Linked DNA regions of Drosophila melanogaster. Changing the gene in region 4 together with the main gene of any one other region gives a genetic interaction. Each region holds a gene or a part of one and is shown on either strand. Other genes may lie near its edges.

Evidence for each region.
Region 1: of sqh (region 4) and aurA, changing one enhances a phenotype caused by changing the other (phenotypic enhancement), as found in Drosophila melanogaster (one study listed by BioGRID).
Region 2: of sqh (region 4) and Drak, changing one suppresses a phenotype caused by changing the other (phenotypic suppression), as found in Drosophila melanogaster (one study listed by BioGRID).
Region 3: of sqh (region 4) and sds22, changing one suppresses a phenotype caused by changing the other (phenotypic suppression), as found in Drosophila melanogaster (one study listed by BioGRID).

What each region holds. Positions count from the first base shown.
Region 1 is NT_033777.3:11,961,451-11,969,298, reverse strand, and holds aurA (aurora A), read right to left. Parts: upstream 6,176-7,848; 5' UTR 6,008-6,175; coding exon 5,894-6,007; intron 5,830-5,893; coding exon 5,529-5,829; intron 5,467-5,528; coding exon 4,646-5,466; 3' UTR 4,473-4,645; downstream 1-4,472. Other genes in the region: GC1 (glutamate carrier 1), read right to left, coding at 23-81; CG12213 (uncharacterized protein), read left to right, coding at 1,952-2,111, 2,174-2,502, 2,560-3,754, 3,813-3,874; CG3281 (uncharacterized protein), read left to right, coding at 6,587-6,742, 6,796-7,848.
Region 2 is NC_004354.4:11,489,777-11,498,313, reverse strand, and holds the start of Drak (Death-associated protein kinase related), read right to left. Parts: upstream 5,180-8,537; 5' UTR 4,449-5,179; coding exon 4,315-4,448; intron 1-4,314. Other genes in the region: CG33235 (uncharacterized protein), read left to right, coding at 6,791-8,537.
Region 3 is NT_033777.3:17,387,810-17,395,409, forward strand, and holds sds22 (sds22), read left to right. Parts: upstream 1-3,784; 5' UTR 3,785-3,898; intron 3,899-3,947; exon of another isoform or gene 3,948-3,971; 5' UTR 3,972-4,119; coding exon 4,120-5,100; 3' UTR 5,101-5,211; downstream 5,212-7,600. Other genes in the region: Brf RNA polymerase III subunit, read right to left, coding at 2,687-2,791, 2,851-3,219, 3,281-3,353; lute, read left to right, coding at 1-575, 634-1,171; CREG (cellular repressor of E1A-stimulated genes), read right to left, coding at 5,682-5,791, 5,864-5,945, 6,007-6,450.
Region 4 is NC_004354.4:6,220,545-6,228,614, forward strand, and holds sqh (spaghetti squash), read right to left. Parts: upstream 4,597-8,070; 5' UTR 4,463-4,596; exon of another isoform or gene 4,153-4,462; intron 3,977-4,152; exon of another isoform or gene 3,867-3,976; intron 3,614-3,866; exon of another isoform or gene 3,573-3,613; 5' UTR 3,461-3,572; coding exon 3,041-3,460; intron 2,968-3,040; coding exon 2,863-2,967; 3' UTR 2,517-2,862; downstream 1-2,516. Other genes in the region: Efr (ER GDP-fucose transporter), read left to right, coding at 838-1,896; dtn (detonator), read left to right, coding at 5,631-5,676, 5,896-6,188, 6,256-7,371, 7,433-7,638, 7,700-7,859, 7,935-8,070. UniProt on the Drosophila melanogaster protein: Required for cytokinesis, could regulate contractile ring function.

The DNA.
Region 1 (7,848 bases), on a different chromosome or scaffold from region 4:
GAAATGTTTATTGATAACTTACGCGAATTGCTGGTGCTGCGGCTGCGGCAGCGGCGTTGCGATGGTTGCACTGCTCGACATTCTGCGAAATACACACAACCATTAAAGATATACACATATGCTATATATGATGAGCAAACAAAGAATTGGTACAAACTAGTTTTTTTATAATTTGTAACAAAACAATAAAAATATAGAGAAAATTATATTATATTACTTCCAATAATAACTTAAACAATAAGTACATATGTATGTATATTTCTTTATCTCAAACAACTGATATATCTGTTGGATTATTTTAATATACGCATATAATATATATGTATATTTGAAAAGTTCTTTTTCGATGCTAACCGGTGGAATTTATCAAACAATACAATTTTTGGTTGTCAGGCAGTATAGAAATACCCAATTAAGATTGTACATATCTATATAAATTATGGTTAATGTTTTGATTGCTTAATGAAATGAGCGAACAATAACCGAACCATAAATGTTTACACTCATGTAAGTTAAACAACTGATAATGCTGTTGGGTGTTTATATCATATGGGCGAATACTTAATATAGGTTGGCGATAAGCCGAGAATGTGGGATCCAAAGTTTATTGACATGATCGGCGGACCCCACGGAGATTAGCAGCAAATGGATGGGCGCCATTAGTCGCTACTCGCGAATAAATGTTAAAATTGCTTCGTTAGCAAAATTACACGAAGGTGCAAATCGAAAAAGTTTATCAAAAAGTTTGCTGGCCATCTATATGCTCAACTCTCAAGGCCGAATAACGGGTTATCCACGCTGCGCAGACGATAAGAGTGTCTGAACTTGTTATCATTTCTCGTTTTTGGACAGAGTACCGCAAGCATAAAGATATCAGGTGGAAGAAATATCTCAAGCATAAAGATATCAGGTTGAAGAATACCGATGGGGTGAAATAATAGTTTATAGCTGAATCTATAAACTTCCGAAGATAAAAATAAGTGTAGATTGCGGCACCTAACAGTAAATGGCAGTCCAGTTATTGATTATTGCCCAAATGTTTGGGAACTCGTGGGGGCGGGGGGCTTGCCGTTTTACGGCGACGTTTTTTCCCCGTGTGCGTGGTTCACCTGGCGGACAGGTGAGATTCACACAACTGATACTGGACTACTATTGTTAATGTTATTGGTGGCACACTTATTCCAGATTGGCTGCACTGGAGGAGCAACCACTTGTGCGGACTTTACGTAATTCACGGTGTTTACCACCGCCATCGAGCACCTTTATTAAATTAATTTGATTGCCACTCTCTCTCTCGCTGCGCTACGTATATGCGTTCGCGTGCGAAACTCTCCCAAATGTTTAAATAAATTCCACCGAACACCCCGCGGAAAAGTGAGGGCATCAATCGTAGCCGAGATATTGAACTCACTTTGCACTAGTTGCTGAAAAGCTCGATTAATTGACTCCGGTTACTTTGAACTTAACGGCTGCTGCGGACAAGCAACACTTATTTGCGGCTAATTAAGCTAAATTAAAAATATTTATTGATATTCTCTTCGCGCGTCGCCGTCGATTCTGGTCAGCGGAGTGACCGTTTCGACACCTTTGAAATATATCTACGGCTCAAATTGGCTATCGCCTGGTGCCAAGCTGGTCACACCGGCACCTTGAGCTTGCCTTGTTAAAAACATAGCAAGCCTTAAAAATTAAATAAAAAAAAGGAATTCAACAATTATATTATTGCAAAGAACTGCGAACATTCATAATTCAGAACCTTTTAAAATTTCAAAGGGGATAAAAATAAAGTATAAAAAAATAATACAACTAAATTCATCGATAGGCAATCGCTACTATCGTTACGACGATACCATCGTACCAGCTCTAAAGCAAAACAAGAAGAAAAACCATTCTTTTTCTGCAAAGGAAATAGTTGCAATTTGTTGATTTACTAGCTTAAATCGAGTGTAAAATGAGTTCGGCTCGCTTCGCGCGCTCAGGGCGCGTCCGTATCTGCATCCTGATGAGCATGTTCATCGTGCTCATCATGATGATTGTTATCTACCAAATGTCCCAACACCAATTGGACGAGAGCCGCGCCTTCCAAGAGGGCCTCAGTGTCCAGATGCAATGTGGGTCTATTGTTTCTATCTTGTTTTGTCCATATGCCGACTGATTATGGTGATATCCACAGCCCTGAATGCCGAAAAACTTACCGCCGAGAAGAGAATGAGCGCGCTGCGCTCGGAAAAGATGACCCTGCAGGAGCAGTACGAGGGTCAGTTGGCGGAGGCACTGCAGAAGCAGCACGACACGGAACACGCACTGCAGGAGAAGTTCGACGCTCAGGTGGAAAAGTACAAGCTGCTGGAGATTAAGTACACCAACCTGGAGGCCGAGTTCGTCAAGAGCAAGAAGAAACACATCGAGGACACGAACGCTTTCGACCAAAAGCTGCAAAAGGTCCTGGCGGATCTTCATAAGGACAAGGCCAGCAAGGAGCGCGAGGTGGCTGCCTGGAAGGTATGCTTTTCTAATACATCCAAGTAAATTTCTTCACCATATCTACTTATGCTCCAGGAAAAGCTGGACAAGCTACAGCGCGATGGTGAGCACAAGATTCACGCCCTGGAAGCCACAATTGCGGAATTCAAGACCAACTGCAACTATGTACCTAAAGTCCAGCCCGCCGAGGCACCGGTCCAGGGACACCAGCAGCAACTGAATAAGCCCGCCGAGCAGATGCCCACCACGCACCACTCAAATCCTGCCCAGCTAGCGCACAGCATTGAAAAGCCCCGCAACGAGAAGTCCTTCGATGCCCAAGTGCAAGTGAGTGAAGGCCTCTACAGGATTGGCGGCGGGGTAAATCTGCTAGCAACTAACCCAAAACAAAACCTAACAAACGCGTCTACTAACTTCACACTTAAGAGTAACGGTGACGGAACCCAAGAGCAGCCGCAACTGCCTCTGCAGCCTTTTGCCGTGTCCAACAACCACAGCCTCATACTAAACTCTGTTGAAAACTTTCAGATTGTGCCCAAATCGGTCAGTGAGAAGCAACAGCAGGAGGAGCCGCAACTATCCGGCGGTCCTGTTTCCCCGTTAAGTGCACCCCGCAAGAGCAGCACCCAAGCCTCAGTGGGCAGCGCTTCGGACAAGAAAGCCGGTGATGCCCCCAACGCATCTGTAGCCCCAAAAGTTAGTAGCAGCGGCCTTCCCCCGCTTGCAGTGCCACCAGCGAAGACTGAGCGCAAACTTCCCGAAAACGTGGCTCCCATTCCCGAGAACTTTGAAGACAAAGCGGATACTAAGGGCGACGCTGTCGATGTAGACAACGCCGCCGAAGACCTGCCGAAGAACGAGAACAACAATCGTTACGCCAACGCAGTAAATGATATGGAGGGCAACAAAAATGTAGGCGTAGCTCCCAAACCCATCGAGGATTCGGGCGCTCACGAAGTTAAGGATGCGTTAAACGAGCCTAGCTTTAATTTGCCCGCCGCTGGTGGCGGCCAGAATTTCTTCGATGGCGAATTGCCGGCACCTGGTCCCGGACCCGTTCCCGATGAAACGGCCAAACAGATGGCCGAGGCAGCCGGTGCCGGAGGAGGTGGCGACGGAGATGACGACGACGATGTGGGTGATGTGGCCGTGAAACAGCCACAGCATTTGCTCGATACAGACAATCTAAACAACGAAATCGTTGCTGACCAGGGTAAGGAGTTCGCCGAAGGCATCCACCTGGAAGACGGCATGGATGAAGATCAAGATGGTGAGTGGAAGTGCTCACAAATCGGAATAAATGCTTAACACTTTAACTTAAATTGCAGAGGACGACTATTCCAATGGTGGTGCAGCACGCAAGAAGGGAGGCGAGGTTATTAGACACTAAGTAAGATAATTTTCTATTAATATTGAGCGGCAAGTGTGCAAAGGCTTAGAAACCCCTTTATATTAAAGCCGTGCTCGGTAAGCCATAGATTCTAGGGTTAATCATAACGAAATGTCGCAAATCGATCATTGAAATTTGTACGTTAATTGAAGATTATAAATCAAAATCTATCCTGGCTTGAGCACGCCCTAAGCTATTTAGTTTGTAAGTTAAGTTCAACGTCATGACTACCATCATTTCGTTAATAGCAAATGAAGAACAAGAAATTAAAACTCGCAGGAAATACAATACTCTGAGATGGAGCTACGAACAAATGCAGACAGATTTAAAATGAAGACTGTTTCAGTTCTGCCTTGCAAATTATTAGTCCCGAATTAGCAGTAATCGAAATCGTTGCTAAATCCTTACAAGTTTCATTAACAAATATACTCTATATACTTGGTTTTCTGTGATAAAAATAAACGCTGCGCTGCATTTGGGCAATGTTGCCTGTTTTTTTTGTCGCTGCCTACACGTTTCACTTCTGCATTTGCAATTCCGTCAACCCATTTCGCTAGAGATTAGGTAGCTACATAAGATAGGAGTGTACGCTAGCATTCGAAAACACACACAAACTTTATTGCTAATGATAATAATAAACTTAATTGATAAATGTTAATTTCTCGTATCTATATAAATGAAAATTTATGATGCCATAATTAAATTACGCGGGGAGCCCTAAACTAAAAATGTAATTAAAAGGAATTAACTGAAAATTAAACAAGAATGTGTTCACTGCGTGTGCGCCAGGATCCAAGGATGCACCATCACCTGATCCAGCGGTAGGCGGTGCTGCGGATTAAGGACCAGCAGCTTGGAAATGAGATGGGATGCTGCCTTGGAAATGTGCTCCGGCAGTTTGTAGTCCACCTTGAGAATCTTCTTGTAGGTCTCGTCATAGTTCTTCGAGTAGAAGGGAGCGTGGCCCACTAGCAGCTCAAAGCAGAGCACACCCAGGCTCCATAGATCCACGTTTTTCGTGTGCGGCTTGCCCTGAACCATTTCGGGTGGCAAGTAGTCGACAGTGCCGCACAGTGTCATGCGCATGGAGTTCGGCTCGTGCACGGACCAACCGAAGTCGGCGATCTTCAGGACGCCCTTGTGCCCGAGCAGCAAGTTCTCCGGCTTGATGTCCCTGTGTATGATGTCCCGCTCATGCAGATAGAGCAGCGCCGAGCACAACGCCTGAATATAGGTGGCCGACTGGCGTTCATCGAAACGTTTCATCGGCTGTGCCTGCAAGGCGTTGAAAAGCGTTCCTTGTGGCGCATACTCCAAGATCAGATATATGCGCACGTCGTCGTGAAAGTAGGCATACAGACGCAGGATATGCGGATGACGTAGGTGCGATTGTATCTCGATCTCACGACGCACCTGGTGCTCCACATTGGACTCGCCAATCTGGCGCTTAAAGAGCACTTTTAGGGCCACCACGAACTGGGATTCCTTTTCCCGCGCCAAATAAACGTTGCCAAACTTGCCCCGTCCCAGCAGGCGACCAATATCAAAGTTGTTGAGCTCCCAGGTCTTCTTCGGCTTCTGGGGCTGGGTTTCTGCAGAAAATTACAATTGAGTTTGGTAATTGCAAAAGATTACAGCTGAACCATTAACCCACCAGTCTTGGTTTTCTCTTTTTCAGCGGAGCTGCTGGCCGCACCCAGTTCCTTGGAGGATTCAGAGCTCGCAGCAGTGGGTTTCTGCTTGGAAAGTGACTCAGGCTTCTTGATAGGTGCTACTGGAGCCGGAGCAGCAAACTCTGATGTGGTCTTCTTCACGGACGGCACCATGGGTTTTTGGAAGTTGTTTCCTTCGGAGGAAGCTATGGAATTGGAGCCTCCTAGGCCTGGCTTCCTGATCAAAGCGCCAGAGGATCCTGGCAAGGGTTTGCTAGCTGGAGCCATATTCTCGCTGTTGGGCTGTATCACAATGGTACCAAATAAGAGTTTCAGCTGCACTCCAGAGATTTACCACTTAACGTACCTTCTTTCCCAATAGCAAGTTCTTTTGCATATTGTGCACTGCAGCTGATTTTTCTGGCATTCTGTGCGGAGCATTTTCCTTGGGACGCAGCACATGGTCAGACGGATGGGACATGACGGCACAGGCACTCGACAACTAACAGAACAGATTACAATTTTGGTCAGTTAACAATGAAAGCCGATATTGGGTAAAACATTCACGACTCCCGGGATCCTGTGAAAATAAAATGCCGTTCGTTTGAATTGTGAAGCGGGCGTGTGCGTGATGAGGCGAATGGCAAGTGTGCGATACTATCGGTTGGTTGAAGAATATCGTGACTTTGTAGTGTTAGAAAATGTTATATTGTGTATTATTTCAATTTGAAATCAAGAGAATTATTGAATAGTGCTCTAAACTTTGGCATTTATGTTATTTTAACCTTAATTTCTATCTCTATACAAATACATCTATCAAAGCGTCTTAATTTTGAAAATATGTTAATTCGTCGCACTTTATTTTGATTAACCGGACGATAGACTATCGGAAGATATTTATAAATATCGTTAATTGTGTACATCTCAATTCCAATATTTTTTATTTCTGGTGACTGTGAACCAGAACAGCTGTGATTTTATCGGGCATCTCTGAACATCAGGTGTTATTAACAAGCAAAGTTTTTATTGGAATTCGTCGTTTATGATATGATGCCGAATCATGGACACACCGGAGATCCACGTAAATATAAGCTCGCAGACTTGCCGCGTCTGCCTGGAGACGCACGAGACCAATCTGTATGTCCACGATGAAATCAAATACAACGACCTTAAGTTGGAGCTCTGGCAGTTGTTGGAGGCAGTTTCCAAATTGAAGGTAAAGAGCTACAATTTCAAGAAACTTCGAAAAATAAGTTCAATTATTTCCAGTGGACATGGACGGACCCAAATCTGCCTATGCATCTGTGTCAAAATTGCGCCCGCCGGCTGATCGGCGCCTATGAGTTCATCGTCGAAGTGGAAAACGCCCATGAAACTTTACAGAATCTCTTCGAGCAACAGGAAGTTGCTGCCAAGCCGGATGAAGTTCATGTGGATGTCGTGGAGCTTATAGACCAAGACGATGTGGTCAGTATGGCACAATACCTGTCCACGTCTTTTGCCGAACAGCACGTGGAAATGGAGGAGAAGTATGGAGACCAAGACTGTTCAGCTTTTACTTCAGATGTGGGCGAAGAGCCACTCTATGCGAGCGAGGATCGTGATGATGAGCCTGAAGACTCCTTTCAGCTGAAGCCTCGGCCAGATGAAATAGAAAACAGAGAATTGTCGCGACCTTCCCAGCTGGGCAGTCGTTTGAACCATTCGGCGAACTTCATCTACAAGTGCGCCGTCTGTCCGCGTGTCTTTGCCAAAAGTGAATCTCTGACTCGTCATTTTTCCCAAGCCCACAAACTGACAGCGGACGTGGCCGCCATGAAGCTGGCCAACGAGAGCTGCGGCACCGGTCTGCTAACCTGTGAGCACTGTCCGCGGACATTCAAGCGTCAGGACACACTCCGGCGACACATGCAGGCATTCCATCCCGACGCAATCGCATTGGAACCCGAAGAAACGACGGACAATTCCGCCCGAAAACGCATAGCTAAGCGGCGAGACTGTCCGCACTGTGGCCTGAGCTTTCCCGTATCTAGCCTTACCATCCACATTCGGCGACATACGGGCGATAATCCGTACAAGTGCGATCAATGCGAGAAGGCCTTTCCGCGCAGCCAAGATCTTAGTCTTCACATGCGTCAGCACACCGGCGAGCGTCCCAGTGAGTGCAAGATCTGCTCCAAGAAGTTTATTTCGCAGAACAAGCTGGCGCGACACATGCGATTGCACACGGGTCAAAGGCCGTACTCCTGCAAAATGTGCAGCAAGAGCTTTGTGCAGTCCAACGACCTTAAGATCCATATGCGGCGCCACACGGGCGAGCGA
Region 2 (8,537 bases), 5.3 Mb from region 4:
TGATGTTCGTGTGCTGTCGAAGAGGGTGGCTACATAATAGGCTTTTATGTTATTTTCCCAAGGGCTGAACCTCGCCCACGCACAAATTTGTTTGTGAGTCCAGAGAAAACGGAGCCCAAAAGTCATCATCTATCAGCTGTTTGCTTATGTATGTATTTGCTATTGTGTGGGCCGCTTGCTCCACCACTTTTCCATTATCCCGGGCTTTTTCTTGCTTTGGTTGGGATTCTGGGGGTTGATTTTCCCGTGACGTCAGTCACACTCAATGAGGTTATGTTAGGCCCCAAACAAGAAAAAAAAAATAAACAAAATGGGCCAAAAGCATTGGGGGAAAATTCGCTTTTCAGTGGGTAAGTCTGGCTGCGCAACATTTGACACTCGATGAAATTTCGTGCATTATATTATATTATATTTGTCAAGAGATTTACCAAAAAGTATGGAGTATAGGTAAATAGAGACATTAAAGAATTTGCTTGGGGAATACAATATTTAATAATCGTCGCCTAGGCAAATATACATACATACAATTTTCAGACATGTGAATAATAAATGGACAAATATACACGTATCCCAAGCTCAATCCAAATAAATAAATATATAAAAGCCTCCCAAAGGTGTGACTTTCCTCGTGTGCGAGCTTCAATTGAATTGTAATTATTGTTATTTATTATTGATTCGCATTCTCTGGCAAAAACCATATATATATATATATATATTATATATGTTCATATGTACACACATTATAAGTTTGCACAAAAAATTGAATAAAATTTCCATTATGCAAGCGTTCGACTGCCCACAAAATGTGCGTCCTAATTTCCAATTGAAAGGCCAAAAACTCCGGGCTACGAATAAAAACTGGACAATGTGCCAATGCTGAAGTCAAGTGGGCTTTGTGAAGTCTTGTGGCAGCCACAACAGTCCAACAACCAAATGGGCTAACAGGCAAACACGGCCAAAGACAACTGAAAAAGCAGCTAGCAAATCTGAAACTCCGGTGTCCACAACTTCATTTGTCTCGCTGTCAATTTGTATTTCTTTTTCTTCAATTTTTTTTTTTTTACCATATAAATTGGGCCATAAGCCAGCAGCAGCACCAAGTTGATTTTTTATTTTTCCATATATCATCATCCCATCCATCCAAGTCGAATTATGCACAGCTCAAAAAGTTATAAGAAACATTGTGTATGTGCGTCGCCCAATTGGCCAATATTTTTTGGCATTTCGACTTGCAGAAATCAGGAATCCCCCCGCGATACACCAAACCCCCCTCGCCAACCCACCATTATTTCCCATTCGCATTGATTGACGGCTTGCAATTGTCAAATGTTTCCATTTTGGCAAGTTTCTTATATTCCACTGGTCGGTCATTAGGGTTAAACATTGTGACATAGGGGGGTTAATTTAAATAAATTGCATGTGTTGCGCGATTAGCAACTTCATTTCAATTTGTATGTAAGACACTTTCTGTGCCTAATTATATTATATTATATTAAATTGAATAGTAAATCTGTCACAACAAAAGTTAGAGCTTAACTTGTACCGTTTTCTCTACTGTTGCAACACTTTTAGCCAAATCCCAATTCTGCGGAAGATTTTAATGATATTTATGGCACTGCAAACGAGCGGTACAAAAAAAAAAGTTCCCCTCCATTAAATCACCTTCCGCCCCTCGTTTTCCTTATCTTTTTGCGACTGATAAAAAATTAAAGCTTTTTTGTAGCCAAAAGAAGGCATTTCTTCGGCGAAACGTTTAATAATGATGCGTTGATAAAGCAGCAAACGACCCAAAAAAAAAAAAACACAACAAGAAATATTAAGTATAAGGTATAATGTATATAAGAATGAATTCAACAAAGTGAAGACAAAACGTGAAACGAAAGCAAACGCAGCAGCAACAAGTTGGTATTGAGCGAATACGGAACCAGAGAATCATGAGAAACCAAAACGAAATGGCCAACAAAAGAAAAGGTGAAAAAGGAGCACTATTGCCAAGGAAAAATTAAACCCGTCTGCAGAAGAACATTTAGTTCTGCTAAATAAGGCAATTTTGGCAAACGGAATTCCAAGGGAGAATAAAATGAATATAAATTACGGACCAAAGAACTTACAACTTGAATGGAGAAAACACCATTATATGACATTATAAGTGTAAAGATACAAACCAAATGGTATTAAATAAATAAAACATTATTATAAAGGCACATTAGCAAAATCAAATCTGTTATAAAATAGAGAAATTTGAAGACTTCAAAGTGATCAGCAAAACAACAAATAGCAAAGCATAACATTTTACGAGAAAGTTGAATTTATTATAACAAATTTGAATCCATTAAATTTTTGGCAAACAACTAAATTAGAAAATTACAGTTAATTGTTGCGATCGCATTTCACATTAATGCGATATGTACGCCTCTAAAAATGTTTGTATTTTCGAAGCCACTTTTGTCAAATATTTCCTCCATCTCATATACGGTGGTTTACACTGCGCTTTTGTTTTTACAACAAACACCTCGGACAAACGGCTTCCTGATAAGAATTACGATTTGAGAACCACCATCGATAGATGTGACAGAAAAATTTTATTTCATACGCCTGACTGCTTACGAAACTCAAAAACATCGATTGGGATTTACGTTTTATTATTAATTTTCGTTTCGTTTTTTTGTAATTTTTTTGGCTGATAACAGAATGCTTATCAAGAATGGGGGGAATATGATGATAAATGGGGTACCGGGCAGCATGAAACCACGGAACGCTCGAAAGCAAACGACCTTCGTGGGGCGAAGAGGGGGTGTGGGTGTTGTGGTTGGCGGATTCTGAAGAACTTTAAAGAAACGATGAAATGCAAAACTAATAAGGCAAAAAAACACGGCTCAATGCGAAAAAAATATACAAATGTATATGTATATGATGAAAAAGGGTACAAAATGCAAATCTAGCTGAAAATAATGATAGTCAAAGGGCATTCGAGACAAGGAGAGCAATGCTTGGCAGAAAGAGATAGTGCTGTCCCAACCATATGGTGTGAGAGAGAGAGGGCCTAGAGAGGGACGTAGAAAGAGACGACGGTGCATGAGGGTCAGTTCGCCAGCAAACGGTAACAGCTGCTCTTTGGAGAAGTGAGAAAAAAGGGAGAAAATGCAGGGAGCAGAATGAGGAAGATGAATGGAGAGGGAGGTAGATGCGGAAGAGGGAAGCAGGCAAAGAAACTCAAGAAGAGGAAGAAGCAGAACGAGGTGCACAGTGGTTGTTGCACAAATCTAAAATTCCACATAATTAACTGAAGGGCAGAACCCTTGAAACGAAATCAGGTAAGTAAATAAAATGAATCTCTTGATACACACACAGTGCATAAGGACAATCGCGAAACTGACCATATTGTCAGCAAATTCGTATCTAAAAATGCGCATTTTTAAAGCGTACAAATTCAGAGCTATTTTCAAAACCAATTCGTACTGAATAGATACGTATTTGTTTACGAATCTTTCGATGTTCATAACAAAACCACTGTGCCGTTATCCACACAAAACTCTCTTTTTGTCTCCCGTTCACATGTGTGTGTTGAGTAGAAGCTCACACACACAGGCAAGTCGCAAGAAAGAAGAAAAAAGTAAATAAAACAAGTTTTGAGACGCAGAAGTTTTTCAGAAAAAATAAAACAGACTCGCCACTGACTTTCTTTAACATTTTTAGCTTTGTTTCGGTGGTTTTTGGATTCCGCTTTTATTTTTTATTGAATTTAGCAGCTGCATTCGCAAAAACAAGGAAAACAAATCTATTAAACGATGATAAATTCACTGATGTTAGGTGTGATTTTGTAGCAGTTACCTTCAATTGTGATCGCAAAGTATGTTTAGGTTGTAAAAACTTAGAAGATCATTTTCAATATGGTTATTTTTGGCATAACTATGCATAGAGACATGTATATTTATCTTGGATTACATTTCAAAATATTATGATACGAAAAAGAAACGATCGAGCTTAGTAAAACAAATAAGGCGATCAAGAAAAGATACACATATGTATAGATTTATGGTATTCAAGTACCTAAAACAAGTAAGTAAAACTCCTAGCTTAGAACTTTATAGTTAGTTACATATGTATATCTGCGGTATGGACTGTATCTATGGTTCTGACCAGAATTCCCCAAAAGAGCTAAATTATCTATATGGTTTCCTTTCTAACTGATTTTTTTTTGCAGTGTGGAGATGCAAAAATCTTGTTTTTGTGCTTCTTATTTTCGGTTGAATTTTTGGCAAGGGAAAAGGAGAATAATAGCGCGAAACTCAAAACAGAAAACTAAAAACTCACCTGGCAAACGGCGTCTGTTCCACTTCGTAGATCTCGTTGATGTCGGGACATGAGACGAGGAGTCCCTTCAGCCGATCGGCGTCCACATCCAAAAGTCCGTCGCCAATGGGAAAAATTCCCTTTTCGGTGAACATTTTGTGTGTGTGTGGGGGGGGATTGTGGTGTTTGTGTGTGTGTAGTGTGTTTGAAGATCGAATCTTCTTTCGATTTTTGGCTGTATTTAATCCTTCGTTTGATTGGCTTTTATTTTTTTTAATGGTAACTTGTTATTTCTTTGAGGGTCGAATCTCAACTGCACAGAACCAAAAAAAATTGTAGTTTAGTGATAAAAACACACGCTTCGATATAATGCAGCGGAATACGTTGCGCGCGGGAGAGCGACAGGGAGGGAGAAGGAGACCAGATTCCAGTACAACCCAAAAACAGCAAAAACAAAAAATCACACTAATGAATTAAAAGAAGTAAAGAAGCAAAAACTATGCAACTGCAACACACAGACACACGCGCGCAAAGAGAGGCCCGAAAAAATTCCCGCGTGTGTATGTATGTGTGATGCTGTTGCTGCTGGTTATGTTTTTGTTTTTGTTATTTTCGGTATTTCGCCAGTTAAGTACCGTTCTCTCCGAAGAACTCCGTCTCAGCTTCTCTTCTTCTTCTTCCTCCGCTTGCTCGTTTCAAAAAGGGTTTTATGCGAAAAAACGGCTCGCAGATTTTGGCCAGGCTTTATTCTTTTTTTTTGTGTGTTTCGCTTTGCGGAGGCACGGAGGTACAAGAAACTCGCAGCGGAGCAGCGCGCACGAACCGTTCGTTGGCGGATTGAAATTTCAATTACTCGCGTTCGCTTAAAGTGAACGCACACCATGAAAATAACTCTGCTGCTGGGGCCTGGTATTTCTTGCCAGTGTCTCTGGTCACTCTGTTGCCGGACGTTTAACGCTAGGCACTGTGAAAAATACCAGAAAATACCGAAAGTCTGTTAACAGCACTAGGTTTATAACAGTGCAGTTTTGTTTATAATTTAAGCTGAGAAAAGGCAGAAAAAGTAAAAATTAAATTTCGTTTCAGTAATAATAACTAATGTGAAACTAAGTAGACAGTTATATGAACACCATCTTACAAAAGTAGTTATATGACGTTTCCAATGTTAAGTTTGGTGGAAAGCACATGGTCACACTGCGGCCGATTCAAAGCGTGTTTTCAATTTACCAATTATTGTTATTTGGTGGAAACGTAATAAAGATATTATTTTTGGGATGCAATGTGCGTTTTGGGTGGCGCCTGTTATCGGGGCGTGTGGGCATAACACAGCCCGCAAATAGTTGGCACCTCGCGTCTTCATTGGATTCTCAATTTTAAATGTATATTTATATTTATGCTTGCTTGCAGTTCCCTGGCTTTTTCTCGCCCTGCAAATTTTCCCGCCTTGTTTTCCCACCGTTTGTGTGTAGGTGTGTGTGCTCCACTTGCAAGCCAGTGCACATTTCTCGTGCACTCTGAATCATTACTAAGATCTTAAATAAAGTTTAAGTATATATAGTTAAGTATAGTTAAATATAGAAAACTTTTTTTCTACATTTCAATCCCTCTCTCTGGAATAGACCTATTTTACACCACGCCATTTCTACTTTGTTTAAAAATCATAACTTTGCTAATTTCTTTCAGTGTAATTGGATTGGATGGGATATGCAGTGGATATGCGTTATGTTTGCATTTCTCGTGTGCGTTGCATATATTTTTGTCACCACGACGGCATCTCAGGAATGCGGAGCACCAGAAATAAACCAAGTGCAAAAACCTTTAGCATCCGTCTATTAATAATGTTGTCGTCTCCGGATCTGCTTAGGTTTTTTTTACAAAATGATTTTATTTTTCTTTTGGTCGGGCGGTGGATTTTCTTGCCACGAACTCGCCAAAAACTCCTCTTGGCAGCCATTCAAGTTTAGCAGATCCGGCTTTTGACCTAGGGAAAATGCTTGGCCACCGCGAAAATAGAAAATCGGATCGCGAGAAACCCCAAAAAATTGGGTGGAAATTTAACAAGCAGGAACGAAGTAGTTTCGTTTTAACGCATAATTTGGTGTTACAAATTACAATTGTTATTTATAAGGCAAACAACATTATCTTGTATACAATGTCCTGTTCATGTGTGAGCAGTATAATAGATCTGATATTTAACACATTGCATCGACTTTTATTCAAGTGGAAACAAAATATTTTATTTTGTATAATTCCCTTTATTGGATACAACCACAATTTAAAGTAACCCTTACACTTCGAAAGTGTGGATTTGACAGCTGAAAGTTGACATTTGGAGCTCATTCCCTGAATACATTCTCTTTTTAAAAAAGTCGTTCACCAGGTAACATCGTCACAGCGGATAAAATTATATAATTTTGTATATTATATTATTTCTTATTTCATCACAAGGAAACCAAATTACTTTTATCATTCGCATTGCCATATCGGAAAGATAACCATGAATTTCAGCAAGAAACTGCTTGGCGACAAGAACCTTGTCCGCCTGGATTCGGACGCGACAAGGACATTTTGCCCGCAAGTCTCTGAAGGCAGACTCACATTGGAGAATGTCATTTTCGATCGAGGGGGCAGCGTGACCACCAAGAAGCCTAGGAAGCGCCCGACGCCGAAGCCAGTGATTCGTAATTTCAATAATTTGAGTGTCCCGGAGGAAGTGGATGTGGACAATTTGCAAGGCCAGCGTAAGGGCGTAGCTGTCAATAGCAACAATGATGAAATGATGATTTCAAGCTCGGACAGCAGTGATTCCAGTGATGATTATAGTTCATTCGGAGATGATATATTCACTCCAGGCCCGGAGACCAGTGATACCAGCGATGGTGATAGTTCTTGCGAAGATGAATTAAAGATTCCAGACTTTAAAAGCAGTGCTACCAGCAAAGATGAGAAATTGATTCCAAGCTCAAAATGGAATTTTACTTTGACGAAGGACATTATTCCACCCGGAGAGGGAAAGAAATCTCATATCGGGGCCTCCTTGCCGGAGCCAGTGAATCGTAATTTCAATAATAAGAGTGTCCTGGACTTGCAAGGCCAGCGTAATCAAGGCAGCAGATTCGGTGCCCAGGGCGTAGCTGTCAATAGCAACAAAGATGAAATGATGATTTCAAGCTCGGACAGCAGTGATTCCAGTGATGATTATAGTTCATTCGGAGATGATATATTCACTCCAGGCCCGGAGACCAGTGATACCAGCGATGGTGATAGTTCTTGCGAAGATGAATTAAAGATTCCAGACTTTAAAAGCAGTGCTACCAGCAAAGATAAGAAAATGATTCCAAGCTCGAAAAGGAATTTTACTTTGACGAAGGACATTATTCCACCCGGAGAGGGAAAGAAATCTCATATCGGGGCCTCCTTGCCGGAGCCAGTGAATCGTAATTCCAATAATAAGAGTGTCCTGGATTTGCTAGGCCAACGTAATCAAGGCGTCAATAGCAACAAAGATGAATTAACAATTCTAAGCTCGGACACCAGTGATACCAGCAAAGAGGAGAAAATGATTCCAAGCTCTAAGAGGAATTTCTTTTTGACGAAGGACATTATTCCACCCGGAGAGGGAAAGAAATCTCATATCGGGGCCTCCTTGCCGGAGCCAGTGAATCGTAATTCCAATAGTAAGAGTGTCCTGGATTTGCTAGGCCAACGTAATCAAGGCGTCAATAGCAACAAAGATGAATTAACAATTCTAAGCTCGGACACCAGTGATACCAGCAAAGAGGAGAAAATGATTCCAAGCTCTAAGAGGAATTTCTTTTTGACGAAGGACAATATTCCACCCGGAGAGGGAAAGAAATCTCATATCGGGGCCTCCTTGCCGGAGCCAGTGGATCGTACTTCCAATAATAAGAGTGTCCTGGATTTGCAAGGCCAGCGTAATCAAGGTAGCAAAGATGAGAAAATGATTCCAAGCTCGAAAAGGAATTTCACTTTGACGAAGGACATTATTCCACCCGGAGAGGGAAAGAAATCTCATATCGGGGCCTCCTTGCCGGAGCCATTAAATCGTAATTCCAATAATAAGAGTGTCCTGGATTTGCAAGGCCAGCGTGATCAAGGTAGCAAAGATGAGAAAATGATTCCAAGCTCGAAAAGGAATTTCACTTTGACGAAGGACATTATTCCACCCGGAGAGGGAAAGAAATCTCATATCGGGGCCTCCTTGCCGGAGCCAGTAAATCGTA
Region 3 (7,600 bases), on a different chromosome or scaffold from region 4:
GTCAACTATCTGGAGGTGAAGTTGACGGCAAAAAACGCCTGCCTACTTCTCAGTCAATCGCGTCTGTTCGAGGAGCCCGAGCTGATGCAACGTTGCTGGGAAGTGATCGACGCCCAGGCCGAGATGGCGGTTAAGTCCGAGGACTTTGTGGATATTGATCTCAAGACCTTTGAGTCAATTCTTTCGCGAGAGACACTCAACTGCAAGGAGATACACTTGTTCGAGGCGGCCCTTAACTGGGCAATGAACGCCTGCGAGAAGATGAGCATCGATGACACGCCGCAGAACAAGCGCCGGCTGCTGGGACAAGCGCTGCACCTCATCCGCATTCCCACAATGTCGCTGGAGGAGTTCGCTAACGGCGTGGCCCAGACAGGCATTCTTTCGTCGCAGGAGACGATCGACATGTTCCTGCACTTCACTGCCAAGATGAAGCCCTCCCTGGGCTTTCCCACACGCTCCAGGGCGGGATTAAAGACCCAGGTCTGCCATCGCTTCCAGTCGTGCGCCTATCGCTCGAACCAGTGGCGCTACCGCGGGCGCTGTGATTCAATTCAGTTTTCTGTTGATCGAAGGTAAGTTCTATCTAACAAATGGTTATTGGATTAAGGTAATTAAAACTGAAAATTTCAGAATTTTCATTGTGGGTTTTGGACTGTACGGCTCGTCGACTGGTGCTGCCAACTACAACGTAAAGATCGAACTTAAACGCCTGGGCCGCACGCTTGCAGAGAACGACACCAAGTTCTTCTCGGACGGATCAAGCAACACGTTCCACGTCTTCTTCGAGAATCCCATCCAGATCGAGCCCGAGTGTTATTATACCGCCTCCGTAATTCTCGATGGAAACGAGCTTAGCTTCTTTGGCCAGGAGGGCATGTCCGAGGTGCTAATGGGCAATGTGACATTCCAGTTCCAGTGCTCGTCGGAGAGCACCAACGGCACCGGAGTTCAGGGCGGCCAAATCCCAGAGTTAATCTTCTACGGACCCACCACAGTGACAGCAATGAGCTCGCCCACCAATTCACTGTGTCCCACGCCAATTGGTGGCAGTTCCTCCAATGCAGGAGCGACTTCAACCGCAGCAGCCGGAACAGCTGTTCCGAATAGCAGCAATGGATCTGGCAATAACGCCAACAGTTCTGGGGAGGATGGCGACGGAAGCACCTGATGCGCACAGCTCTATTGCGCCGAGTGGCAGGGAGCCTGTTACTACCGCCAACAGCAGCAGCAACAGAGGAGACCAACACAACAATACAAAACACAGCAACCGCAAAAGATACAGATACAAAATCGAAACTCATGGGTTTTCAGTGCAGCACAAGAAAGTAAATTGGAGTTTTAGGCTCATATATATATATATATATATATATATATACCAAGATAGTAGAGTACTCTAGTTTTCATAATAGTCCTATATATAAACATATATATACACGTCAAAGCATAGACACATATATATACACCTCGGCAGTGCGTTTTAAAACTCCAAGACGATTGTCAGTACGTGATCATCTCAAAAAAAAAAGTCAGCCGATGCAAGTCAATCGATATAGGAAATTTGCTATAATTGGAAAGTTTCCTTCGATATCCCAAGTATGTTAAGCAAGTGAAATCAATGGTTTTGCAGTTCTAAAACGCACTGCACATAGTCTGTTGGTAATGCATATAAAGATATTTTCAAAATCGAAAAAGTTGATCATATACACTCTTAACTTTATAGATAAAGATTAGTAGTTGACTCGAAAACTTAATACGTTCCACGACTTAAGAGGGCGGGATGGGGTCATATGGACGCTAATAGAGACGCATAGATACATGCAATAAGTGAAAATCGGGCAATCAGTCAAGCTAGCGTTAACCAATATTCTAAAGACAGTTAAAGGGAGAGTGGACAAAAGCTAATACGATATATACCAAACATATTTTTGCCAGCATATACCTAACATATACACACATCTGATCTGATAATGATAAACTATAGTCCTAAACACTTCGAGGGAGAATAGGCCATGTTAATAGTTGCATACGACGAATTTGAAACCCAAGTTAACCAGTTAACGAAATAGCAAACAAAAATGAAATCAAGGGATCTTGTACGAGATGCGCACAAAATCCCCCCTACATATATATTCAAATATTAATCTTGTAGTACGCATTATATCTATTTCGTAGTTGTTCCATTATATCTCTCATACATACACAATATGCCTTTCTACTGATACTAAGCCCCGTACTTCTCCTGTGCATTATTATAGCCTGCTGAGCGCAACAATCAGTTTTACGTTTGTATTTCGGATTTCTTTGGAAATTGTACTGATTTTTTGCTTTTGATAAGACAATTATGGTTTTTATATACATATATCTATATAAAATGTTATCCTGTATTGATTATGAATCTATTACCATTATGTACTTTAATCAAACAAAATACATTATTAGATTTTTGCGAATTTACTTTCTCAGAGTTGAAGATTTTGGATATTTTGACATCACGTAAGTAGTGCATAAAGAAAACAGGAACGAGTAGAGTATTGTTAAATACCTGATAAAAGGAAAGCAAGCAAATCTAACAAACCCAACAAAATATTTTTAAAAAAACAAAAATTAAGAGTGGAGCTATGGCTTGACTTGACTGTGGATTGGGATTTAGGTGTATAGTTTAGTATTCACAACGTTCACTCACCCAGAGAAGGTATGTTGATACAAAGGGCATGCGATAACTTTAAGTAGGTACGACCAAGCTCATAGGAACAGATTTGCTGTACGTCGCTGATGTCGATGAGGAGATCTGTGAAGATATGAGCAGTCAATAAGCTACTCTTTAGGCAAAATGAATGCACTACTCACGGGAGGTGCCCTCTGTCCTGCAGGTCATGTACACGCAAGCGGCGTAGATGTGGGTGCTCTTCCTACCGCGGGTCAGATGCCTACCCAATGCCATCTTGAAGAAATTCAGAGCAGTATCTGCATAGTGCTGGGATAGCTGCAGCTGCTGGCAGAGTAGTGTGATGTCCTTCTTGGCCTTTTTGATGGTCACCTCGCGGGATTCGGTGCCCGATCCCACCTGAAACTTGCCGTAGCCATAGTTGGTGGCACCGCCCGACGACTCGGCGGACACAAACTGGCCAATTGCGGCTGCTCCATGGCCAACTTCCTCGAACTGCACTTCGGAAACAATGAGGGAATCCTCCAATACCGAGCCGCAGTTCATGCAAACTACAGTGAATGGGTGAACGTCGTTAGTGTCATGGATATGGGTCCTTGGATGTCATTATACCTCGATCTCCGCGAGCATTGTCTTCCTCGATCTCGTTGGATCCGCAATTGCGACATTTTAGGCCCGTAGACATGATTGTTTGTTCTTTGCTTTAATAAACACTGCCACCTGCAACGCTTCGTTTTTATCCGTTGTTTTGACAGTTTAAACTACTTGTTTGCTGTCATTTGAAAGCCATTTTCGAGTCTTTTTTAAACAATTTGCAATTTGTTGCCAATTGAATCAACACGCTTGGAAAACATCTGATTGAACCCCGCCGGCGTTGCTTAACACTGATGATAGAAGAAGAAATGCTAGAGATGCGCATTTCTCAATCAAGAACGACATTGGCACAACTGCTTGAAAAACTTAAAAGAGATATTAAAATTGTAAAAATTACGTAAAGCTGGTTCCAAAAATTATGTTCTAGTTTATTTGGCAAATTATCAATCAATATTTGTTTTTCATTTACATTGGAATATATAATAATACAGGTTTAGCATCGTGTTCTTAGGTGCACATCTCTAGTAGAAATAGTGTTAAAGTGCCGGTAAGGTGACTAAGTATTTTGTTGACATATTGAACAAGTTGGACCAAAAGGAGTATACAGTCATCTTGGACTTAACTTATAAATATTAAGTAAATATTTTAATACATATTTATTTTAAATTTACATATTTATATTTACCGTGTGTTCTTGCTTTTGTAACAGTGTCAAGCTTTGACGTCATATTTAAAGAAAGTCACCCCACTTTGTTCCACCCTGAGCAGCGGAATAAACAACAAGTCAAGTCAGCGTTCAATTTTCGAAAGTCAACTTGAATTAAAAAAAAAGAAAAGCCGGTCAAAATATATCAGTCATGGGCGATGCTGATCGTGCGATGAACGAACCAGAAGCCGCGAAAACTGTGTCCGGAATCCAGGTGATTCCCGCCGAGGATGTGGCTTCCATTGAGGATATAATCACAATCGATCCGGACTGCTACGAGCTTGATCTGAATCATCGCCGGATCGAGAAGCTGGAGAACTTCGAGCCGCTGACTCGAATCGAGCGCCTGTTTCTGCGCTGGAATCTGATCAAGAAAATCGAGAACTTGTCCAGCCTGAAAACACTGATTGAGCTGGAGCTGTATGACAACCAGATCACCAAGATTGAGAATTTGGACGACTTGCCCCACCTGGAGGTGCTGGACATTAGCTTCAATCGTCTGACGAAGATAGAGAACCTTGACAAGCTGGTCAAGCTGGAGAAGGTCTACTTTGTGTCGAACCGGATAACCCAAATCGAGAACCTGGACATGCTCACCAATCTGACCATGCTAGAGCTGGGGGATAACAAACTGAAGAAGATCGAAAACATCGAAATGCTCGTGAATCTACGACAGCTCTTCCTGGGCAAAAATAAGATAGCAAAGATCGAGAACTTGGACACATTGGTCAATTTGGAGATACTCAGTCTACAGGCCAATCGCATTGTAAAAATCGAGAACCTTGAAAAGCTTGCCAACCTCCGCGAACTCTACGTTTCGGAAAACGGAGTGGAAACCATTGAAAACCTCTCGGAGAACACCAAATTGGAGACCCTCGACTTGGCCAAGAACCGGTTGAAGGGCATTGCCAATCTGGAAAAGCTGGAACTGCTCGAGGAGCTGTGGCTGAACCACAACGGAGTCGATGACTGGAAGGACATTGAGCTGTTGAAGGTGAACAAGGCGCTGCAGACCATCTACCTGGAGTACAATCCGCTGGCCAAGGATGTTCGCTACCGCTCCAAACTGCGCGACATACTGCCGCAGCTGCAGAAGATTGATGCCACCCTGTGCAAGGTGCCCGGTACCTAGATGGAACCACTGTAAACCCCTTGAAAGACTAATCCACGGCGTTGCGCCACTACATTTATATCGATTAACTTTGAAAAACTGCGTTTAAAATATACATACAAATTAACCACTAATGGTTCTATCTACGAATTGGTGGGTGCAGTGATTTAGTTTGCTTTCAGAAGAAGGTATATTTGGATAAGTTACTCAAAGCGTGAAGTTTACCTAATGAGTCAGATAAATTATCCATCTAGGCTACCGCCTAACATATAAAACTAAAAAGTATTTTATATATACACATAAATAATGTAAATTGAATCTAAAAAGATGAAAACATTTTAGTTAAACAATTCTGGTTTCTCTTAAACCAAAACAATACATTTCAGTATGTCAGAGTACATTCAACGGAATGTATTTTTATTTATATCAAAGTTATTGTTCTATCGATTGAAATCACAGAGCTCAACTGATAAGTGGCTTTCATAAAGGCCTTTGTCTTCATTCTTTCCCTTTGTGGCAGACATGTTGTGCAAATATGCTTATCATTTCATTTTTTGACAAAGTATATGAGGCGTCAGTTGGATTGCTTTTGGAGGAGTTCATCAATTCGAAACAGCGTAATAGTCAGAGGCGCTCACTTTATGAGGACCTCCATAGAAGTCCAGAACAAAGATATTGCTAATTTCCAGTTCGCAAAGGTAGAAATTGTGAGCTGTAAAAGAAACAACGTATTTATTATTAGTACATACATATCGAGCTCTTAATGAGGTTCGCTTTCACCAACCTTTTACCCAATTGATGGCAGCTGGATGACGCCTCACATAGGCATCCAGCGATGGCTGATAGCTTTTGTCGCTAGGATCCATCTTCAAATGAGCCAAAACATTCTTAATCCATTTTAAATAGGATTTAATTCATTTTTCATACCTTCTTCACCTGTCCACTGATCATGGAACGGGCACATGTAGGCTCCATGGGATCCTTTCCGCCCTCCTTGCATCTTAGGGTCTGCTCGTCACTGAACAGGAGTGTGACCTTGTTGTCCTTCTGCCAGTCGGGACCAGTGAAGTCCAAATCGGTTAGCAGGAATCGAATACGTCCAGTGGACCTGTTATTAGCATCGCTGTCGTCGATGGAGATAATGTTGACCATGGGATACCCCTTCACCCGTTCGTTGGTGGAGAGACTTCCCACAGCCGCCCAATTGGCGCGATGGACCAAATCTCTGGCGATCTTGGCGTGATTTAACTCTTGCTCTCGCTTATATTCTCTAATTATACGCTCATCTTTCCGGCGGGAGTAACCGGAAGAGGGGTCCAGGCTCACGAGGGCCAAAATCAGGGCGAATAGTAGGGAGTGAAAGGTTTTCATGGCTAGACTGCAAGTATAACGATGCGGTTCTGAAAGATCACTGAACACTGGACAGCTGACGGGTCAGCATTTATGGACAGGGAATTCGCAATGACTGGCTTATCTTCCGGTCATCGTAATCGCGTATAATCCGCACTTTTAGTACTCTCTCTGATTCACGATGTAGGCCGTAAACAAAGCGGACTACGGATAGCGTTGACCTTTTACGCCTCTTTCATTTTCTCTGTGCGCCGCATTCTGCCAGTAATGCCCATATATATATGTATTTATGCCTACCTGGAGGATCTGGACTAATGGCCCCTGTCGGTACTTCTGCTTTGCGATTTGTTTGTCAACTGACTGGGCTACTATTGCGCCTTTATTATCACCTGCTTCGAGTACAAAGAACCACAACCAGCTGTTTTCAGCAGGTACCTCGGATGCGGTGGGGTGTATGTGACGCATATGTTCGTGCATTTTTCTCAGTTCTTCTCAGTCTCTCAAAAATCCATTAGTGTCTTTTATTACAAGATGATTTTAAATGCGCCCCATTAACTGGTTATTTTGAGCACTTAGTCAGTAATGTATGCAGAAAGCAGCGATAAATTGTAAATAAAAACGAATATCTAATTAATTAAAGTTTGGACTTTAGGAATAAGAATAATGTGTGTGGTAAATTTTAACTTTCAAAGAAAACAGCTGCCGTAAAATTAAATCACCATTGAGATTAAATAGTTTGATGTAAAGGAAAATAAAATTTAAGAATTATTTTAACAAATTCCTTTTGGGTAAATTGGCAAGCCGAGTAAAAACGTAACACCAAACTAGTTAGCCATTCGTAGTCCGAGGGTACCAACCGAGCGATCATCCAATAACGGTGGCATACAGCATTGCCAGCTTGAATAAAGTAGACTGCTATAAAACTAGGCTCGTATAAGCAGATCTTGAGCAGAGATTGGTGTAGTTTAACATTTTGTTTTCTTTTATTTTGCAAATATGTAGGTATGCTTAAATATGATTTTTGTTTTTAGGAGTATCATTATGCTTGACTTAATCATCTTTACCATATAACTTGTACATTTCACTTTCATTTAACTTGACCTCAATTAACATTTATTGTTTCTATTTGCGATTGGCTCGAAATTTCGCCAAACTCTGGTTCTGAATATCC
Region 4 (8,070 bases):
ACCCACCGACCTTGGAAATACCCTTCCAGTAAAAACCAGAATTCGATTATATATATCGAAAAAATCGATCTGCTACCAGCCATCGATAAAGAATCTTAATATTTCAATAAAAATTAGTACCGCATAAGCTTAGTAAAAAAGTGAATAAAACTGTCATTAATTTCACCAAAAAAGACCACTTTAAAATAGCTTTGTTTACGATCAGTTCTATTTTTGGTAAGCATTTTATGCAAATTTTATATCTCCTATAACTGTTAGCTATCGTGATTAATAAATCTCGGAGCCAAATGATTAGCTTCATATGCATTCACAATGCGCAAAGAATAAGTATAATAATTTATGCTAATGTATGTTTTTCTTCGGTATCCCCGTGTGCTTTGCACATACGACGTACGACTGAAATTTAATAGCTCTGAATTGCTGAATTGCAAATTAACAATAATTTAAATAAATAATTTCATCAGTTAGTAGTAATATATTCAAAACAGATTGATTTATTAATAGTGCTAAACTCTTTTTTAGCATAATCAGAGCAAAATTTAGTGGAAATCAAATTGCTTCGTAATCATGGCAATGTTTTGCGAATGTATAAAACAATTTACGTGCATGTGTGTACATACGTACCTACTTATTACCCCTTTAAGATAACAGATAGCACGGAATGTTTTACATGCTAGAAAACAAAATGAAAAAAAAAACACACTTGACAAAAAGTTTAAAAAAAATTTAAAATTGAACACGTACTCTAACATCGATTGTCAAGATGCTGGATTTTAATAGCCTATAACCATTCATATTTTTAAAATTTCTAAACATATACATATTTATCTTTCAGATATGGCTCTGAACCTGAAGGCCCTGCTGGGCATGCTGTTCGTGTTCATCGGCTGCTGCAGCAACGTGGTCTTTCTGGAGCTGATCATTCAAATCGATCCGGGAGCGGGTAACCTGATCACCTTCGCCCAATTCCTGTTCATCGCGCTGGAGGGTCTGGTCTTCACCTCCAAGTTCTTTACGGTGCGACCGAAGATTGCGCTGAAGGACTACGTCATCCTGGTGGCCCTGTTCTTTGGGGCGAACGTTTGCAATAACTATGCCTTCAACTTTAACATACCCATGCCGCTGCACATGATCTTCCGTAGCGGATCACTGATGGCCAACATGATCATGGGCATTGTGCTGCTGAAGAAGCGCTACAATCTGCGACAGTACAGCTCCGTGGCCATGATCACGGCTGGCATTATATTGTGCACTCTGGTCTCCAGTGGCGATGTCAAGGATAATACACATCACAGCCTCAAGGTGGATACATCCTACTCCGATTTCTTCTGGTGGACGGTGGGTATTGGCTTGCTGACAATCGCCCTGCTGGTCACCGCCTACATGGGCATCTACCAGGAGGTGATATACAAGAAATACGGCAAGCATCCCAGCGAGGCCTTATTCTTTACGCACATGTTACCTTTGCCCGGTTTTCTGATCATGGCCGGCAATATAGTCCAACACTTTGGTATCGCATGGTCATCGGAACCAGTGGCCGTGCCACTGCTGGGAGCCATTGGACTGGAGTGGAAATTCCCGCTGATGTTGTTCTATCTGCTGTGCAACGTGGTCACCCAGTATGTATGCATCAGTGCCGTCTACGTTCTGACCACCGAATGTGCATCGCTAACCGTAACGCTGGTGGTCACCCTGCGCAAGTTCGTCTCGCTGCTGTTCTCGATCATTTATTTCCGGAATCCATTCACCCTAAACCATTGGGTAGGCACCATCCTGGTATTCTTCGGCACAATACTCTTCGCCAATGTGATCAACCAGGTGAGGGACGCCTATCGGGCCAGGTCGAGCCGGAAGACCCACTTCGACACCGCTCCGCTGGCCAAGAAGGTGGAGTAATCTTCGCGGGCTGTGATGGTTCCTGCTGCAGAGGCCATTAACCATTAACCATTAATTTGTAGTCGTAGCGCCTTGTTTGTACATAGAATTTGCCTAGTGTTTAGACGCCTCTTTGTCTGGTTTGTAATTCTTGTGTCCGTGTCTTTCTAGATTTTCAAATGTTCGTGTTTTCTTTTAAATTAATAGTTGTCCAAAAAGTGTGTAATATACAACGTTGAGTGTTTCGAACATTAAGCCATCTATTTAATTGATTTTTTTTTAAATAAATTCTTGAAAAACATATATTTGCAGAAGCTGAAATATCTTCGAATCAAAAATAATGTGAGATAAGATATGAGTTTGCAAGTTCGAGTCTTTTGGACATGAACTCATTAGTCAGCTTGTCGAAGATTCCAAGAAAATTTTGACTAATTTCCGAAATCTCTTTCAATTTCCCGCCACATTTGAAGCTACATACACTTATCACATCGTGCTAGTGATCATGCTTAATTAGCCATGGGGGGTACATATTCCAAAGTTTCCCTTGTTTGATCAGTTGCTTTTGGCTGAAGGATTTCTGCAGACATCTGTTTGGTTGGACGTGCGCACGTTCTCGAGTGTAAGAAAAACAAAGGTTTATTGCCACATTCTTGTATAAGTATGTATTTGTATATAGGTAATATATATGTATATTCAATGAGTTAATACTTATGAAAGGAGTTTTTCGGGAAATCGTGTTATCTGGCACCAACATCTCACACACTACACTGTCGTACATAACAATCGCTGGTGTTGGCTACTTTTTGTTTAATTCAAATGCACGGATAAGTACAGGATTATCAGGAATCAAAGAACAGAAGGCGCGAAACCAAAAAAAAAAAATATTTATACTTGTATATATTAAATTATCAAAACGAAACTCATGATGGATAGTTTGGACAGGCTGATTGGAGAGGCAGCTGGCTAGTGAATCGACTGCTGGCGATCTTACTGCTCATCCTTGTCCTTGGCACCGTGCTTAAGGATGCGCGTGAATTCGAGGTAGTCGAACAGACCGTTTTTGATGGGCGCCTCCCGATACATCTCGTCCACCTGTGAATGTAAATGGAAAAGAAGTTGTAAGGGCACACTCCGACTTGATATCGTAAACAACTTGACAACATACATCCTCGTCTGTGAACCGATCACCCATGGTGGTCAGCAGCTCCCTCAGGCGATCCTCGGGCAGGACGCCCATATTCTCCTCGTCGAAGCAGCCGAAGGCGTTCTTGATCACATCCTCGGGATCGGTGCCCTGCAGCCGCTCGCCGAAGAGCGTGAGGAACATGGTGAAGTTGATGGGCCCGGGCGCCTCGTTCATCATGCCATCGAGATAGTCGTCCGTTGGGTTCTTGCCCAGCGAGGCCAGCATGTCGTGCAGATCCTCCTTCTCGACGAAGCCATCACGGTTCTGGTCGATCATGTTGAATGCCTCCTTGAACTCGGCAATCTGCGCCTGATCGAACATGGCGAACACATTGGAGGTGGCGCGTTGGGCGCGCTTCTTGGTGGTGGCGCGACGTCCGGCGGTCTTACGGGATGACATGGTTGCTGTTGGATTGGTGGTTCTGATGCGGTTAATGGAGCTAAATGGAGCCGGCCTATGGAGCTGGTGGCACTAGTGCTTCGCGCTGGAGTGATGTGTGTGCGGCGTGGATCTGAAATCGAAAAACGCCGACTCACATTAGCATTTCGTTGGCCGGGTATGTATTTATGGCTATATATAGACATATTGCAGCGAATTCCGCTGAAACCGATTTTCATTGCTCCCCAAACAAACTGTGTCAACATACAGTGGACGCTCGCTACAGTGAGTACACCATGCATATGCTTATCACAACGGAAAGAACATCTTATTGCTGCTCTTTAAGGTTTTTTAAGGAATGAAGGTTTGGCCATTGCCTAAAATGGGCGAACTACAAATTATATTTATAAATAAATAGTTTTAATACAGTTTTAGGCCAGAAAGGATAATGCAAAAGCAGTTCGATGGCTCCATGCTTCCGCTACAGTTACAAGTCCACCTTATCGGGCGCCCACTGTGAGTACGACTCATGCACGCACACATGCGCAGCTCTCTGAGTCACTCGCGCAAACGAAAATGACACGTATGGGAGTTTCGCTCTCGCTCTGCGCCAGTGCGTGCATGTGTATGCGAGTTTATCAATGCTGTTGAACTGCGGTTAACAAAAACAACATCGCACACGTATTTGGCTCATTGAAAACATTCTCACACACACTGGCACACGCATTTCAATTAAAGCCTTAAAAGGCCAGAAAAAAACCGCAGTTGAAGCACCCAAATTCACTCGAGAACTCAAGTTGGGCCAAATGTTTGCGACTTCGTTGATTTATCACTTTCGAATGGACATTTAAATGGAATTATAGCACAAAAACAATTGTTTTCATTTGCGCGCTGCCGACGCTGACTCATACGCATACACTAACACACACGCACACTCACATAGGGCAGCGCCCTTTGGGAGTTCAGTTCGTTTATTTTATCGAATATGATTGCTTGATTACGCCTGATTTGATTCATACTCACAGCTGCCGAATGCCGAGTGTTTAATACTATCGAAGTTTCGTTAATGCAACTTTCGACCAGCTGCACTTTTGTCTTTTATAATTTCGGTTCGACGAGAAGGCCAAGTGTGACCAGCATAGAGGCGGTTTCAATTTATCAGAAAATACCGCAGAATATGCTAAAAATTACTGTGCAAAAGTGCTAATTGTTGGAGCTCCTAAAATAAATAAATATTAAGACTATAAATTATATTATAAAATATAAAATTATATTACAAATGTGAATACTACTGAGACTAGGACCATGGCTATTAGAATCCTAAAAACCTATTGTCAGTTGTGCTACCAGATCTTGTTTTAAAATATTCGTTCCTAAGAAGCTCTTTTCTTGTAGAATCTAAAGTTTCTCAAAAAATTTTCTTAAGCAATCCCAATTAATTTTATTTTTCTTTATTCTTCACTGTCAAACATGGTATTTTTTTTTTTTTGGTATTAACTTTTTGAATTGCCCGCGTTCTGATTGGAGTTTCAGGAGTATGCGCACAGTCTGGCAGCCCCATATTACAGCACTTCCAAATACGGTAGTACCACTATCTTAGGATATTGTTTTCAATACGGTATGGACACACTGCAAAGTGTTTGGAATGTTCGATATTTGTGTAAAATTCTGAGAGACCTGAATGAAAAGAGGCATGCATTAGGGCGTCGAACGAGGGATTTTCCAGCCCAGCAGATCCTTGCCAGCGCGTGAAAAGCGAGTCGAGTGAAAAATCGAATCGATTGGCACGGTTGCGGTCCAATTAATTTCGAACTGAACTGCGCGATTTGCAGGAGAAGATGTGTCTATACCTGCATGTGCATGTGTATCTGTGTGTGAGGTGGCCCACGGCTGTGTGTGTGAGCAGCGTGTGAGTGTGTGTTGGTGTGTGGGTGTGTGGGCACACTGGAAAGAATCAATAAAGGATGTGCTGCGGATTGCTGAGCGAGAAAAAAGGACGAAAAGTGCTAGCCAGCGCGAATTAACGGTTGACTTTTGGCACGATTAACGGAATAACGGTCAAATAAGCCACACAAGCGAGAGAACAGTGAAAATAACGAAAGTGCGGGCACAGTTAATTAGCAAATTAACGAGTGGGTGGGCACAGGATTTCAGGATTTCGATATATTTTGGATTCCTGCACACGAACAAGATGATGAGATACTGCCTCATAATTGCTTTGCAGCTGTCGTTGGCATGTAAGTATCAAATAAAGTTTCCAAACCCAGGGGGGTGGTACAAAAAAAGCGATGGAGTGGGAGGAGGGAGTAAGCCAGTGGGAGGGGGATAAAGGAGGAGTGGGTGACCTCCGGGTTTAAGAAAATCCCCAACCCCTATGTTACCATTACCAAAATTCAACTAATTGACTCCTTCATCTACTCCCAACCCATAACAAATCCATGCCGAATCCTCGCCAGACTCCGTGGAGGTGCACTTCGAGGCGCCGGACAGCGGCTTCTTTCTGAAGCACGCCCGCCAACCACCTGTGACGCCGGAGATCGCCAATGTGCAGACATCCTCGGCGGTGCCGCCGTTACGGCAACGATCCTCCTATGATTCCGTGTTATCTCTGGACAGATTCACTGTGGTCGAGACCACGCAGCCGGTGTCCATACGCGCCAGCTATGGACCGTTTTCCACGAAACAAACGGTGCCAGCCCGCTACATTGTGCCGGACACAATGGACAGCCAGTCGGGCGATTATATGAACGTGAGTTATCCCCAAATCCTGGCAAGCAACAAAAGGACGCCTTGTCATACCACTTTCTCTCCCACAGAATGCCACTCTACTGGAGCTCCAGCAGCCAAATATGCACCTGGACATATCCGCCCATTTGGTTCGCTCCAGTGTATCGCAGGATGCTCCCGTGCTTCGGGTACTATTCCACGCCGGAGCCGATCCGGGTGGTCATTTGCAGCGCCAGAAGGTCTGTGTACTCCTGCACGTGGCGATGGGTTCGGAGCAGCCGCTCAAAGGACGCTGCATGCCGGAGGGCGAGGACGGTGTCTGCGTAGCCGAAGTGGTCGTGCCCCTGGGCTGGTGGCCCCAGCTGCCGGCGCCCACACAAGATGGCAGTGGTCAGGCGCCACCCAAAGTACCGCAGCGGTATGCCCAGGTCTCGTACAGTGTCTTTGAACCGCCTTTGCGTAATCCCGAGCAATGCGAGCCGAAGGTGCAGATCCAACCGTTGACCACATTCGCCCAGGTGCCTTTGTTGGCCGCCAGGACTCCCTATCGTATGTTGCGCGCCGATGATGCCGTCACCTTTCTCCTGCCACAACATCCGCTGTATCCACTCTCCCGTCTACATGTGCCCGTCTTTTTACATCAATATCCCGATCAGCGGGTGGCCGCCTTCACTGTGAGAGCTCGTGTTAAGGCGGGCTTAAAGATTCTGGGCGCCACCGCCTCCACAGACCAATGGAGCGTTTCTGTAGAGAAGGAAAATCCCAAACACACTACCGCTCGCGTTACTGCTTTCCGCAAAGAGGCCGAATCCAGTCTGGAAAGTGGTGGCAACCTAACCAGCGAGGTGTTTGAAGTATTCTCATGGCTGCTCGAGGTGGCCGAGGACACCAATGATATTGTGGACGGTGGCAAGATTGTGTGGTCCGTGACGCATGTCTATGACACGCCAAAGGACAAGGATTCCGGGGAACTGGTTATACCCGATGACAACAAGAAGCGACTAATTGCCAAGCTGGAGATCAACAAGGATGACATTCAGGCGGTGCTACCGATGGCCAAAATCTGGGAGGTGATGAACACGGCGGTGCTAACGGGCAGACAGGTGGCCCAGGCGATGAAGGTGTTCATCGTTTCGCAGGCAGGCAAGGTGGCCGATGTGACGCTACAGAGCTCCTGTCACGCCGAAGATGAAAGTGTAATCAAGGTGCGTCTGATGACTGTGAATCGTGCAATTGCTAGCTAAATAACCAATCAACTTCTTTCAGGTCTCCTCCTCCTGCAGCTCTGTTTATGTGGATGGCTCCGAGCAGCGCGGCTCATCCAATGCCTCGGTCATTGTCAAGTATGGCACCTATGTGGGCGTGGCCAAGTTCATCGTTTGGATGCCCGAGTTTCCGCTGGAAGTTTACATATCCGATTTCCGTCTCTCCCAAATCAAAGGATGGAAAGTAACCGATGACAATCACTATCTGTAAGTTTATTATCCTGTAGTTTGAATATCTTACTTATCATTCTTATTCATTGCATGGCAGACACAACAAGCAGTCTCGTCGAAGAAAGAAGAGATCCTACGTTTGGGGTCAGCATGGAACGAACTACTATAACAATCTGGGAGCGGACAAGACGATTTGTCGCGCTCGCTACCAGCAAAGTCCCGTGGAGGTGTATGCCAAGTTCCTGGCCGTGGACCAGGTGGGAATTCCTGAGCTTCATAAGCGTCAAAAGTGATTATATAGCCATGTTTCTCTTCTTATCCATTTGAAACAGAACTCTGGACGCACCAGCTACTTTATCTCACGGCGTACAGGCTTAAGAGTGACGGATCTGGTGCAACCGCTGCTCCGTGTGGCCGATCCCAAGATCGCATCTCTGAAGGGTCGAATTCTGCAGGGCAAGTCCATGG